2 linked regions of the Drosophila melanogaster genome follow. The protein of the gene in region 2 interacts with the protein of the main gene of each other region in a pairwise test. Each region holds a gene or a part of one and is shown on either strand. Other genes may lie near its edges.

Region 1 (7,949 bases), on a different chromosome or scaffold from region 2:
AGATATTCCTGGAGATCCAGAATCCGAACATTGAGCTGCTCATGCCATGATGGAAGAACCTCCATACAGAAGCTCGAATAATCTATTAGAATACTTTTTGACTTGACACGCAACAAGAACTCCGTCCATGCGCATTTTTTACAATAAGAATTCCATACAATTCCACAGATGCCTACCAAATAGTTTTATATAAATTTATATATTTTACACACATTTATACACGATCAATTATACTTATGTGTAATTCGAATGCCTTAGTCTTCTAAACGACAATTAAACAAATAGATTCGTAAAACTACTGCTACTGGATACGGGCTCCTTGGGGCCAAGAAATTATTGTGGGTTTTGAATATCAACGTTTATTACCATAAATTAAGTTTAGGTGTACTCTAATTATACGAGTTTTTGTGTGTTTACATTGAGAAAGATATTGTTTGTACAGAAACTTTAAATGAAAACTGACGACCTATAACCATAGAAGCGAGGGATCTAAACTGGGTGAAAGAGGGGAAAGTCGAAAAGGGATCGGGTCTAAGAAAGTCACTAAATATACATTAAGGTAAATCTTAGGATCGAATATTTTACAGAGCCTGGTGTTAGACACAGAGCAATGGGTTGGATAGGCTGGCCTAATAGACTAGGTCTTCTCCTCCTTTTCCTTGTTGTAGCGCTCCAGTTCTTTGAGGAACTGCGCCTTGGGTTTCATTACATTTGGCCGTTCTCCGCGGCAGTTGGGGCAGAACCACTTGCCTTTTGGTTTTAGTACCAGGGAGACGCACGAAAAATGGAACCACTCGATGGGGCACAGGTCATTGTCGCACAGGATCATCTCGCCAAAGGAGATCTGCAATAGAAAACGTGATTAGTGGCGAAGCTTTTCGATAGGAAAAGCACTGCGAACTCACCTGATTGCAGACACAGTAGGTCGGCTCGTCCGGATCAATGGTCTCCGGCGGCGGCGTCTCCTCTCGCGTACTGGCATTGGCATTTGAAGCCCCAGAACCGCGTACCTTGCGCTTTTTCTTCTTGCCGGAATTATTGCCACCAACTACGCCGGCTCCGCTGGCACCACCACCTCCGGCTGCTCCACTGCTCGTGGCTGCAGAGCCGCTAGCCAAACTGCCAGAAGCCGACTGCAGACTGGCCTTTCGTCCCTGTCCCGCTCCACTGGCACCGCCCAACGAGGATTTGCGCTCGCCACTGCCACCACCACTGCCACTGGCTTCATTTGCCGAGTTGGACTCGTTGCCGCCCATCTCCAGAGAGCTTCCGTTGTTAACAACACTCTCGTTTCGCCTCCTCGACCGCTTGCTACCTGTGCGCTGCAGTTCTCCGCCTCCTCCGCCGCTGGCATTGCCATTGGAGCCGCTGTTGCCACCATTACTGACATGGCTCGAGCGCTCCGAGTTGGGCGTTGAGCCGCCACCGTTGCCGGAGGTCATGGCATTAGAACCAGGCACAACACCACCTGCATAGCCGCCCAAGGCGTACAGATCTTTGGCCGAAAGCAGGCCGTTTCCATTTAGGCCACCGTTGCCAGTGCCCGCTTGGTTGCCCTGCTCCCTCATCGGGCTCTGCAGGCGTTGCAGCTTCGAAGGCGTGCCATCGTCCAGGAGCGCATACCGATCGCGGTCCTCCTTCAGGTCCAGGTTCTGCTGGTCGGTGTCCAGCTGGCGCAGCTTGCCGTCGATTATCTCCTGCATATGATTGACGATCTGCATTTTTTCGTCGCCCAGTTCCTGCGCCTGAATGAGACTCTGGTGCATCCTGGAGATGCTTCGAGACCGTCGCCCGGCATCCGCGGAGTTCTGCAGGGACAGATACAGGTCGTAGTAGTGGTCTACGTCGCGAATGAGGCCTGCAAATCGACGGGTTTGGACCAAGAGAGGAGGTTAGGTTTTCCGCTTTTCCAACAGGCGTAATCTCGGCCAGAACTCACCTCTGTACTGGACGTCTATGTCGCGGATGCGTGACAACTGGCGCTGCACGTCGTCCGGCAGATTTTCCACCGAATCGATATAGTTGTCCACATAGGTGGCCGAATTGATGGCCTCCGACTCGGATGCAATGGGGTTTATCATCGTGTTTGGACTGCGAATCGCTCTATTCCCGCCGCGACATCGGCTCGGGGACGTGGGTTCGGATGTGAGCTACTCTTCCGGCGCTCTGGAAGGGATCGGCTGGCTATATAGTACTCCGATTCCACTCAGTTCCAACTTTTTGTATGGCGTTGCGAGTCGCAACTTGCGACTGTACTCGTGTGTGCGTGTATGTGTGCGTAGGTATTATTTATATGTATGTATACAATGGGTGGTTGTGCTTTGCAACACTAGTCGGCTGGTGTTTTGCTACACTGAAATCGGGGTGGTTAACGGCACTGCTGTTTCGGTTGAATTTTTTAATAAATAAGTAATATTGGTTTTAATAGTTTGTGGTCAAATATCTTCTCATCATTTCCCTAGGCAATAGAAAGTATTAAAAATATTTTCCCTTTAAATACAAATTTAATTATTACTTTCAGTCCTTTTTTTGTATTCATTTTATTACAATTATCGTAATTTTAAAATCATGTATCATTCATTCAACGGCCAGTGTAGGAAACGTTCAAAACCAACCCCTTACTCATTTGCCCGGGAAACTGGAGAATTTCAAATAACAGTATCAGCTGATTTTTTAATTAGGAAAAACAAATGCACTTATATTATTTTTTAATTGATTATTATTTAATATTAATAATATAAATATTTATTGTTCCTTTCATGAAACATACGTCTGAACTATTCAGATTTGTATTTAGGTTGTCAAGTCTATTCTTCATTAAGCTTAACGTTATTAAATGCATAATACTATTATACGAATTATATATTTTTAAAATATTGTTCGTGCATTATCTTCTATGTCGGCACTTACTAAACGTCACCTTAGAAGTATTACGTACTTCGCCATGAAAGTATATAAATTTTTATAAAAATTATATATATTCAATAGTTTGAGTCTTTTCATCCTGAGTTCTGGCTCGCACTTCCTGTGCATTTGGCTGCATTGGTGTTTGAGATTCAAAGTCCATTTCCTTATCAATATCTTTAAATGCTTGTTGCAGTCCATTAACTTCTTCTTTTATAGCTTTCTGCATATTATCCCGATGCAAATCGGTGTTTTTGTGTTTGTTTAGATTATATCTATGGCGGTAGTGAACATCGCAGATCTCGCACCTGGCAATATAAATCAAGTAAAGAAATAAGTAAACGGACAGTAGTCGGGATTCTCTTTTGCACCCACCGATGAGGATGCATTCCTGTGTGTACATCCTGATGCTTTGTTAGTTGGGAGCGCAGCAGGAATCCCTTTAGGCAGATGTCACAGCGAATGGGAAACTTGTCGTGCAAAGCTTGATGTCGTTTCATGGCAGATGGGTCAGCGAATTTCATCTGGCAAATCTTGCACTGGAAGGGTCTGCTTCCGTTGTGGAAGTTCATGTGCAGGACTAGACCTTTCTTGCTGGTATAACTTTTGGTGCACTGGGTGCAGTAATGGCGACTGGATCCCTCTTCCTTTGATTTCACCCGCGTTCGAATCCGATTGCCTGCTCCGTGAACATCCCTGGAGTCAATCGAAGTGATTAGATGATGGAACCATCAAATAGTAGGTGCACTCACCTCTCGTGCCTGTGACGACTGCTTGCGTTTGCGAAGGACTCATTGCAATGGTTGCAGGGAAAGGGATGCTCGCCCTTGTGCAGCGCTCTTACGTGAATGTTGCGCGTATAGAGATCGTAGAATTTCTTCGGGCATTCGGGGCACTCGAAATTCTTGGCCCTATTGTGACGGAGCAAGTGCATCTGCAGCTGACTGCGTTGGCGAAAGGTGTGGCCGCACTTGTCGCAGACATAGTTCAATGGCTTCGCTTGTATCCTTTCGCGGCGCCTTCGGTTTTTCTCCTCTGGACTCACCCTTAGTTGAGGTTTCTTTGGTAGTGAAAGCGAATACTTTGGTGCAGTTTCCTTTAGGCTATTGTACTCACCGAGCACAACCTTATAGACCTTGGCTCCGTGATCTACCTTACCAATCTCTTCCTTAGTCTTACACTTTCGTATGCTAATTATTTCATTACATGACTTGTTTTGCTCCAAAGCAAAGTCTTTTTCTGTGTCTCTGTCTAGATCCAACTCATCTTCACTTAGTGAAAACTGAGTTGGCTCTGCATCCAGTGGAAAGTCGTCTTCATCCAGGACACCCTCACTATCCGGCAACAACTCTGAGCTGAAATCTTCTAGTCCTACGACTCCCTTTGCCTGCTGGGCGGACTCTTCGTAGAGCACATTTTCCAGCTCCGACTCCATTTCCTCGTCACAGATTTGAATGTTGTACTTTTCCGTCGTCTGCCTAAGCTTTTTGTCGACCTGCTGGCATTTGGCACGGAATTCCATGGATTTATTCACAGTTTCCTGGCACGTTGAGCAAATGTGATGCGGTAGCTCTTTGACTCCTTGTTGTATCTGCAATAAAATGTTAGTTCTTTAATGCAGCTTTATTATAATATTATATAGTGGGTTTATTTTTCTGTTAAATTTGTGGTAGAACAGTTTAAGAACTCACATATTATGTTCCTTGTCAACAAAGTTAACTTATAAAACGAAGATGAAACAATTTAACAACAAAAAAGAAAACGTAAGTTTAAATGCAGACGCAGACGTACCCACACCCCAGTGATGACCTTTATGTGGTGCAGAAGCGCTATGTTGACCCTGTCATATAGATCCTGAGCATCCTCATGCCGCGATATGATGCGAAAGCAGGTGCGGCACTTGCTTGCCGGCGGGGGATCGCATTCCTGGAGCCCAGTGCTCTCCTCTTCGAAATCACTATCAAAAAACGCACTGTCTGCTGTGGTCGTGTCCAGGGCAGTGGATGTGGTGCAGGTGGCGTCACTGTCGTCTGCCTCCGCCAGGAATAGCTTCACAAGCTTTTTGTTAACCTGCCGCGAGGAGCGCATTGTGTCTTTGTTGTCGTTTGACTGGCGCACCTTGAATGCAAAAAAAAAACGAAGGTATACATAATATACCAGATTAGAATATTAATAAGAGTTTGAGTGACACACCCATTTTGAATCGCTGGCTGTCCTAGACGACCTCATCTGTGAAAGTTATTCGCAAATAATTTGAGCTCTCCCGTTTTCGGCAATGTTGAGTCGATGAAAAGTTTCGCGGACTGTTGGGAAAGTCCGGAATATGCTTTCTTCTTTCACCGAGATGTGCTTGGACTGGCGAACTCGCAGAGGAATCTGTTGCCGCAGATGCGAACTGCGCACTTCATCCTTTGCCGGCAAACTGCGAATTTCTGCAAAACAGCAAGCACAGTTTGCAGGGCTGCATAACCTTGAACTAGGGGTTGAACTCCAGGCTGTGTCCATGTGCGTAGCCAAGAGCACTTTTCACGGGCGTAGCGATTTTAGTACGGTGCATATGGCTTTAAGCTTTTTGTTTACTTTAAGCACTTGTTGAGAATAGCCCAATTCATTATTTTAATTATATTCTTTATTGAAAATTATTGATGTTAGCAAAACCACAATTTACTGCTATGCCATATCTTATTAGGAAACAAGGGAAGATAGTCGAGTCCTCGACTATCAGATACCCGTTACTCAGCTTGGATGAGGGAGCAATTTGTAACCAATTTTTATTGACATCAACTTTAGAAAGTTTCCAGAGGGGCATTTTGCATGTCAATAGCAGAACATGCGAAATAATCCTCTCAAGGAACCAACGATTTACCCATCCGCTTGGACAGTAGCATCCATTTTTGGCATTTTTGACTGCTCCTCAACTTTCAGGCGATGGTGCTTCGACTTGTAGTGGGTGGCCAGGGCGTTCCTTCTATTGAAGAACGTTTGGCAGAGCTCGCAGCTAAAGAAAATGTATTAAGTAAAGATCCAAACAGTGTCTGTTTGACCGTAACTCACTGGAATGGCTGTTCCCCCGTGTGGACCACGATGTGGTCCTTGAGAGCCGTCGAAGTCTTGAAGGCCTTCTGGCATGTGGAGCACACGTGTGGTCGGTGGACGGGACTCTCCTTGTGGTTGCGCTCGTGGTTCAGCCGCTTGAGGCAGTTGTCAAATCGCTTGCCGCAGTACTTGCACACGTAGGGCAGCTCCCCGCGATGCTTAATCCGCACGTGCAAATTGAGCAGGTGTTGGGTGAACTCCATGCGGTCGCACTCCTGGCACTGGAACTCCTTGGTGCCCTTGTGCCGTCTGAGGTGCACATTGAAGTTGCCCTTCTCGCTAAAAGTTTTGCCGCATTGGTCGCAGAAATATAGTCGGTGCTCCAGTGCATAGGCTCTTTTGGCAGCTCCCCATTTGTTTCGTGTGGCATACTTTTCCTCTTTGGTCTTATTGGTAGTTGAGTCAATATTCTCTATTTTAGCCATGTCCTTGCCAGGACACTCCTCTAAGCACCCTTTGCTCCTCGGTTTTCTTCGGTTTTTCTGTACTTCCCCGATGACTTGTAGTGTTCTGGGCTCTTCCTTCATGACTTGGGGCATTTCGGATGCTGGCTCTTCGTGATTCATGGACTCCACTGGATAATCAGATGAAAGCTGAGGCTCGCTCTTCACCTGAATAGGATCCTCGCACCGGAGAGGATCGACGAGATCGGCAGGCGGTATTTCCGGGACAACTAAAGGGTAAATTGGGGTTTCTACTGTCTTAAGAGGCACTCCATCCACTTTCTTGCTGCGTTGTGGTAGAATCCTTCTCCTTTGCGGCTGTGCAATACTAATGGGCATAACATCCACCCTACTTTCTAACCTGTTATTCCCGCCTTCCCTTGCAGTCTCAGTGTCCGAATCCTCTTGTTTGCCCTGCTTTTCGAACCAAGACGAATTGGTCCTGATGCAGCGCTCCCGGAATGCGATGGCATCGTTCAGATCCAGCAAGCAGGATAAGCAGATCCTCGTTGGCACACCTGGCTGGTTCCTCAACTGGAATCGAAGAGGGAATGACTCCGTGGTTACCGGGAATAGTCACCTACCCAAAAGCCCGTCAGCTTGAGGATGTTGCTCAGGACATCTCTGGCCTCCTTATCGAAAAGTGACTTGGCGTGCTCCGCCTCCTGGCCACAGGTGCGGCACAGCGTGGTCATCCTTTTTGCAGTTTCAACTCAATTGTTTAGTTTCCGCCAAGTAAACAAAGTTGGACTTCTGTTTACAGAATAATCTAGTTTATCATTGTTTTGTGTGAATGGCACATTTTAAAGTGAACTACAAGGAATTAGTTCTTCCGATTTGAACTGTGGATTTGTTGTAATAAACGTTAAATATTTAAGAGGATGAAAGATCCACTTTCAAAACTGATCGATACACCCAAATCACAGTCAGATATCTTATGATATTTCATCTTATTAACTTCTTAGAAATACTTTTATACTAAATTATTATAATTTTAACAGATAAGAACATTAGACCTCTAAACGGATGACAACACTTAACAACAAAACATTTGTACCTTATTTATTTTTGGAATCAATTTCGGACTTAGCACTCATTGCGATCAGCTTATTTTGATGCTGCCTGGAGCGGTAGTGGGTCTTCAAGTTCGAGTTCCGTGTAAAGGACACTTTGCAGACCTCACAGCTAAGGGGAAAGTAGATAAAAACAAAGTTAAACATTTGAAAAAGTAACTTTTCAAGCAGGAAATAGTTAACTTGATTGCTGGATGTAGTGGATATTAGGAAGTAAAGAGTTACAAAGTGGGAATAATAAGATGATTGATACTTAAAGGAATATGTTAGGAGAAAGAAAAATCTAGCCATATATCTTCACAAGATCTTACTGGAAGTTACGCTCGCCGGTGTGGACCACCTCGTGCTTGGCCCTCTGGTAGTTCGACTCGTATCGCTTGTCGCAATAGTTGCACTTGAAGTTCTTTGGTGTTTTCTTGTTCCGGTGTACCCG
Region 2 (7,812 bases):
GCATTCAAAAAAGACTGCAAACGCGCGTTCGCAGCGGATATTAGCTATCTTTATAGCACACTTAACTCACAGCAGCAAACCCCATCAACTACAACGACAAACTGGTTGCGAACAAATCCACATTGCAGGAAAATAAGGGGTGTAAATCAAACACGAACCTCAAAGGCGGGCAATTTTGCTTGCTCCTACTGTTTTTGTTGTGACATCTAACCAGTTTCTTGTAAAACACAGCAAACGTCGTTCGCACCCCTGACGCCTGTAACTCTTTCTCAGTTATTGTTGGGGCCGCCGTTGCAGTTGCGAAATCATAACGTCAGCGCACCGAATACCAACTTTGTTTACTTTATCAGCACAGTTTTGGAGAGGCCATAAAACCGTCACCAAGAATCGCACACCCGCACTCAGCGAAAAATGGCAAAGGATGTGGGGTCAGCATCGCCACATCACGTACCAAGGCCATAATATATGCGATTTTCAGGCCTAACTAGAATTAAACAGCTCATTAAATTGTGTCAGTTACCCGCTGGAGCACAAGTGGAATGTTCAGATGCCATTGGGTCACATAAAAAACCAGACAAGAGCCACAAATAACGATTCCTAGGCTAAAGAACGATGGCCGTTTAATTGTCATTACCTATACAAATTTGTAGCATCATTGCATGAATCTAAAAATAAAATTATGAAAACTATACAACCGTGCAATTTTAAACAAAATAATTAATTAAAATGTACTCAAAACATTATGGAACAGTCAATACCACGAAATGCAGGGGGAATCAAATAAACATTATGGGGCACAAAATTTCTAAGGACTGTGCTAAATTTTATTTTAAAGATTTTTATTTTGAAAGCGATAAGTTAAGATGCAGTTCTTGCCTGCTAATTAAGGGATCACAAACGCAGAGGCCAAAAGTGGGTCAAAACCTTTCGTTCACACATTCCATTTTGATTGGGAATGATTTCAGATTGATCTCGATGCTTTTTTATTTGCGGTAATCAAAAAAGACCAGCTCATTCACACAAAAGCTCGAAACAGGGAATAAAGAAAAATGGGATGGAGAGAGGGAAAGACATGTACATAGAAACAAAATGCCAAAGAGCAATTCTGCTTTTCAATATTGTAAGCTCGCTTTTGCAACAGCAATAGGTCCAAAAGTTTGGGAAATCCCACAGTAAAAACGGCAAACATTTGTTCAAGTGTATAGCTAATGACTGAATATAATGTACAAGTTGGGAAAAAAAACGCAAAGCGTATTTTTCTCTCGGTCTAGTGTGTTGTATAAACAGTTGGCCGGGCGATTCGACACTCACTTTACAATCATTTTTCCGTTCCAAAACTTGCTTTCCGTGGATTCTTGATAAGCTAGAAACAGGAGGTGACTCACCTTGGCTTTGGCGAATCCATCGGGGTTACAGGTGGGCAGGAAGTGGATTTCGGTGAGATTTAGTAGCGCCTGGACCTTCGGGTCCCCATCGTAGTGGGTGGCCAGGTATTCGGCCATATAGAGAACCATCTGACGACCCACGGCTTCATCGCCTTGTATGTTGGCCACCAGTTTAACCATTGGCCTTAGGAGATCTCCATTCTTGGACTCCCCGGTAGGTGCACTTAAGGCTAGGGCGTAGATGGGTCGATCCTCCAGGGATTTGCCTATTGTATAGGTCTGCGCCAAGTCGGGGTAATCCTTGGCTAGCTGGCTGAAAAGATCTCCTATTTCCTCGTTTTTTAGGTAGTGAGGACTCTCCAGGAAGTTGTCCTCTTCCTGGATGACCCGGACTTCGCTGTATTCTCCGACTGCGCAGCCGATGATCAAGGCTAGGCAGAAAAACAACATTTTGGGGATTCTCGGGGACTCTCCCGGAGCGCTCGCAGTTTCTGTACACGTAGGCAGGCAGCAATGCGATGATTAAGACACAAAACGCAGGCGCGCCACTTTCAACAGAAAGTGGATGCTGAATGAATGAACTATTTTCCCCAGAACCACTTTCTTGAACTTTCTTAGTGCCAATTTTTAAACTTGTGCCACAAATGTGGGCACGCCACGCACACAAACGTAAAAAAACACCGACACACCGATGCAAAGATCTACGCACACCCAGATGCGCGCACAATAGAGCTGCAGTTATTGCACTTTCTTTTCGTACACTTTTTTCGCAATGATCTTCTCGCCAGCCTAGGATGAATCAGCGTATATTCGCTTCTTAAACAACTGCCATGATACATACATTTTATTCGCAACACGGAGAATATAAATAAAATCGCAAATGAAGTCACGAAAGTACGCGAACGCAGCAGCGACCACTGTTGCCACTCGGCTGCGATCAGATGACATTGCCAGATGCGACTTAGAGGAGTTGCCAGAAGGTTGTTGTTGACAACCGGATGGCGCCAGATTTAAATATATGCGTTCCTCGTCTCCCGAGGTTTAACTAACTTTTATTTTCTCTAGAGCTCAACAAATAAATCTCCAAAAATGAAACTAACACAAGAATAACCATTGTGTGTGGCCTAAATATGTACGGTCTGTTATATATTATCTTTTAAAACGTGTCGTATCAAAAACTACCTCAAAATACTATTATGTTAAGGCAAAATTTGGAAAAGTGCATTCAGACATTCCGGTTCGTCCTAAAGAACGCATATCATCGTAAATGTTGTTTACTCTGTGTTAAGCATTGTGTTTTTGTGTTCTTAGAGCAGTGAGTTTTCGTTATTCCTGCCTATCACTGGAATAAAACACCAAAAAAAAACCTTAATTCGCATACAATGGGTGTGGTTTTCTTAATGTGTATACATGTATATAAAGTATAGGATTTTTTTCCGAGTCTAAATGCTTGGAGTGGGCTTGCGATATATAGTTACACAGTTGATTGCTTCAGATTGGTGCCAATTTAGTCCCTACATTTGCGTCCCCATTGACACATTTACCGCACCTATTCGCCAGGGAGGCCAATCAATAGGGTCATTGATTATTCATGAATACCAACCCCTGCTCCATCGAGCCCTTTCTCGGGCTTTTTGCGACCCTTCTGGGAGCTAGCTATCCGCTGTTTTAGAGTGTGAAAAGTCTGCTGCATGCTGCGCATTTGGTACCGTATGGAGCTGCTGACGTCACGCTGCAACTGCTGCACCTCGCGAATGTCCTTGCGCAGATTCTGGTACTCGTTGGTCACCTCGCTCATCGACTCGAGCAACTCGAGGACCTCCATCTCGTCCATCTGCTCCATCGTCGTCTGTTCGAGGCTGCGCTCCACCGCGTGCAGTTTGTGGGCCATCGTGTACAGCTGCGATCCTGCATTGGCCACCTTGAAGCAGAGGGAAATGTAGGTTACCTATGGATTAAGTAATTGAATTTTGGCCGCTTCCGTTCTCTCTTCAGCTTAGGGAAGCATTGAAAAGATATTCCCAGGAGAACTTATGATCAAATCCTGATAACAACATCTTAAATTAAGTTCGATAAACTTGGATTAACAGTCTACATTTAGGTACTTTGGACAAAGATCTTAAATACTCATATTTCGGCACCAACTGACAATGTGGCTTATGATTGTAATAGACCGCCATGGAGTGTCCCTAATTTCTCTCACTACACTCTGAGTGCCTATACTTCTGAATGAATAAGTGGCTATTTCTGTTTGCCTGGTCGATAAGCTCACCGATTTTTCCAGAGCGCTGATGTCCTGGTAGCCCGGCGTGGCCTCCATCTTTTCCAGATCCCAAGCTGCCTCTCGACCTCAGCCTCTTGGCATGACAGTAAGTAGTAAGTCAGCGCAGCAAGTCCATACTGCGGCAAATAACAAAATTGTTTTTGCCTAACTTAAGGCGCGTCGTCCGGAGCGCTGACAGTCCAGTCCAAGCTCTCCGAGCAGAGTGAGCGAGTCCTGCGATTGGTCCCACTATTTATATGCTCCTGCACACAAGTTGACTTCCGCATTCCGCAGCAAGAGAGGGAGCGAGAGAAAGAGCGAGTGGCAGTGCTGGTACTTCTTTAGCTTGCTTAAAAACAACGTATAAAAATATGCTATATTTAATCGAATTCTTTTTAGTATATGCTTACACTTTTCGAAGCCAATGGATTTTTTGTAAACGTTATGGATTTCAAATGACAGAACTTTTTTTTTGTAATTCCTTGATTCAACTACCGGTGGGCATCACTGAAGAGCAGAAAGGAGCTACTATTGTCCCATTGAGAGACAAAGCAAACCACTTTCTTTAAAAAAGAGAAAGCCTTTCATTTGTGTTGCATCTATTTCCATGGATTTTGTTTTCCCGGTGCAGGCTAGTCCTTTTGATTATGTTGACCAGGAAGCGGGGCTGCTAGCAAAAGCTTACCCTGCCCGATGATGAAAGCGAACTTGCTATTTTAATAGACCAAAAGCCTAAAAGCAGGCAGACAAATTTTCATTCAGAAAGTGAAAAATGCGCCAGCCTGCTTCTGTCCACACTGCGTTCCAGGAAACATTTTTAGGATTTATCTGTTCAGCTAGGAAGCACTTATCACCTAATTGATTATTTTTTCCATCCTCGGTTAAGCACTAGTATTAATATTTGATTACATTTCGTTTAAGTTCATATGTACATGTGTCCATACGTACATATGTACATATGTACATACGTTGATGGAAAAACACAAATATACTACATTGGATCCGCCGGTGTTTATAAATACCCTAAGCCAGTTCAGCATGTCTAGCATCGAAGATCCAATACACTTCCACTGTTGTACACTTAAAAAGTTGTTACAATCTAACTGGAACACATAAACTGGCTTGATTACCATAAAATTGATTAACCATAGAGTATGCATTTGGGTACTACAATACTACACTGCCGTCACCATAGCTAACATTCCCTTCCAGCAGGGAATTGACAAGAACGCAAACACCGCAAAGCAAGCACTACACTCACACACACATACTCACAACGAGCCCCCAAAAAACAGCAACAGCAACAATTGCGAAAACAGAGCAACACAAAAACAACAGCTGTGCCCCCGGTTCCTAACGGTGTGTGCGGTAGCAAGTTACATACATATGTGCGTGTACACGTGTGTGTGAGCATCAAACTATAACCACTTGCTAATGTAAAGCACTTTTTGACGTGGTCTTCGCCTTCGCCTTCGTATATCAACAATCGCCACACCATGCCAATACCACACCACACCACCATACATTACCTCAAACCTATACAGATATATGTACATATATATTTCCATTCATGTATATGTGTAGAGAACAGTGGAGAATAACTGGCATCAGAAATGGGCGGCTGCGCTGCGTTCAGTTTCAGTGTAGCCACCGTTCGGAGAGCACGCGATCCGATCCCCGCACCAAATTCTCATCTCCGTATCCCCAAGATGTCCCTAGTGCGATTGATCGGAGCAGAGGTGAGTTTCCAATTGGTGGGTGGGTGTATGTCCTATAGGCATGCTAGGCTGCCATCCTCACCCTGACATACATACATACGTGCATCCATCCATCAGCATTTGGATCGTTTTGGCGCTCTCTCTCGTTCTCTCTGACACTGGTGTGGCCGTGAATTCGGTAATTGGCGATGCGATTGGCCTTGGGCATGTAATGTATGCACTTTCGGCGCCCATCTCACACTCCACCCACTCTAGTGATTGGAATGGCCCACGGGTGTGAGCGGCGAACGGGCAGTTGAAAACAACACATGTTACGCAATACGTCGCTGCGAAGCGGAAGAAGTAGAACTAGAACCAGAATATTAAGCAGATAAAGCGCACAAGGCGAATTCGCGGGGAATTTAGCGGTACAATGTTTGAGTTGACGTTAAATCCAATAAAACGCGATAAGCGGTACCTTTCCACGACAGGCGCGCCATGAAAATCTCGAATTTGCCAGATGGACACTGATAAGCGTGGGCGGCTGCCCCCCGCGCGCCTACCACTCAAGTTATCAACACCCAAAAAAATAGACCTCACCCCACATTAAACGGATTTGTCCGGCCGTTGAGGTTAGGATTGCGAGCACTGGGCAATTTGCAAAGCAAATGAAAGGTGGACTAAATGGTAAATTTTTGGTTTAGTATACGTGGAAGTGGGAAAATAAAGTACGCTTAGCGATCGGAGTTCATACCTTTTGTACTGGCTGTTTACCAACTCTTGTCCCTCCTTTATCACCAGGCCCGCCATCTGGCAAAGAGGTCCTACTCTTCAGCCGCTCCCACAACCAAGCTCTTCATCGACGGCAAGTTCGTTGAGTCGAAGACGAACGAATGGATTGACGTGCACGATCCGGCCACCAACCAAGTGGTCACCCGCGTGCCCAAGGCCACACAGGCGGAGATGCAGGCGGCCCTTGAGTCGAACAAGAAGGCTTTTCGCTCGTGGAGCAACCAGTCGATCCTCACCCGCCAGCAGGTGATGTTCAAGCTGCAGGCTCTCATCAAGGAGAACATGGGTGAGCTGGCCAAGAACATTACCAAGGAGCAGGGCAAAACCTTGGCCGACGCAGAGGGCGACGTGCTCCGCGGCCTTCAGGTGGTGGAACATTGCTGCAGCATCCCATCTCTGCAGATGGGCGAAACCGTAGCCAACGTGGCCAGGGACATGGATACGTACTCACTAGTGCTGCCCCTCGGAGTAACCGCTGGCGTTGCGCCGTTCAATTTCCCGGCCATGATACCGCTGTGGATGTTCCCGGTGGCCATCACCACCGGTAACACTATGCTGCTGAAGCCATCGGAACGTGTGCCTGGTGCAACCATGTTGCTGATGGAGCTTCTTAACGAAGCTGGCTGTCCGCCGGGTGTCGTCAACGTAATCCATGGCCAACATGACGCTGTGAACTTCATCTGCGATGCTCCCGAAATTAAGGCAGTGTCCTTTGTGGGCTCCGACCAGGCAGGCAAGTACATTTACGAGCGGGCTGGCAAGAATGGCAAGCGGGTGCAATCTAATATGGGCGCTAAGAACCACGGCATCATCCTGGGCGATGCCAACAAGGAGAATACTTTGAACCAGTTGGCAGGTGCCGCCTTTGGAGCTGCTGGTCAGCGTTGCATGGCATTGTCTACGGCTGTCTTTGTCGGCGATGCCCAGGCATGGATTCCCGATCTGGTGGAGCGTGCCCAGAAGCTGAAGGTAAATGCCGGCCATGTACCTGGAACTGACGTGGGTCCCGTGATCAGTGCCGCCTCACGCCAACGCATTAATGACCTGATTGAGTCTGGGGTCAAGGAGGGAGCTAAGCTTATCCTGGACGGCAGGAAGATAACCGTGCCCGGATACGAGGATGGATACTTTGTGGGACCAACCATCCTAAGCGATGTTACGCCCAGCATGAAGTGCTACACTGAGGAGATCTTTGGCCCTGTGTTGGTTATCCTGAAGGCCGACACCTTGGACGATGCCATTGGCATTGTAAATGCCAATCCTTATGGAAATGGTACCGCCGTATTCACCACCAATGGAGCGGCAGCCCGCAAGTTTGTCAACGAAATTGATGCTGGTCAGGTTGGCGTGAATGTGCCAATTCCCGTGCCCCTGCCCATGTTCTCCTTTACCGGAACTCGTGGCTCTTTCCGCGGCGACCATCACTTCTATGGCAAACAGGGTATCAAATTCTACACCCAGACGAAGACGGTCACCCAGTTGTGGCGCAAAACGGATGTGACCCACACCCAGGCGGCTGTGGCCATGCCCACCATGAAATAGGCAGAACCTGAAAAGATTCTGGAGAAGATTCAGATGAAATGTTCCACGTATTGAATTTCTGGATGCTTGCACACAGGACGTATTTAGAAACTAGATACAAAGAAATTATTGCATTTATTTGTGTGCCTGTTTA

Evidence for each region.
Region 1: the proteins of CG17778 (region 2) and CG17803 interact in a two-hybrid assay, tested with the Drosophila melanogaster proteins (one large-scale study listed by BioGRID).

The regions. Positions count from the first base shown.
Region 1 is NT_033777.3:17,796,029-17,803,977, forward strand, and holds CG17803 (uncharacterized protein), read right to left. Parts: upstream 5,485-7,949; 5' UTR 5,134-5,484; coding exon 5,098-5,133; intron 5,023-5,097; coding exon 4,696-5,022; intron 4,496-4,695; coding exon 3,657-4,495; intron 3,601-3,656; coding exon 3,280-3,600; intron 3,213-3,279; coding exon 2,972-3,212; 3' UTR 2,849-2,971; downstream 1-2,848. Other genes in the region: pasi1 (pasiflora 1), read left to right, coding at 1-50; CG7379 (uncharacterized protein), read right to left, coding at 638-844, 906-1,858, 1,940-2,081; CG17806 (uncharacterized protein), read right to left, coding at 5,767-5,902, 5,959-6,977, 7,028-7,138; Nnk (nicknack), read right to left, coding at 7,502-7,628, 7,828-7,949.
Region 2 is NC_004354.4:490,963-498,774, reverse strand, and holds CG17778 (uncharacterized protein), read right to left. Parts: upstream 4,162-7,812; 5' UTR 4,059-4,161; intron 3,998-4,058; 5' UTR 3,706-3,997; coding exon 3,658-3,705; intron 3,307-3,657; coding exon 2,971-3,306; 3' UTR 2,406-2,970; downstream 1-2,405. Other genes in the region: CG17896 (uncharacterized protein), read left to right, coding at 5,358-5,387, 6,147-7,679.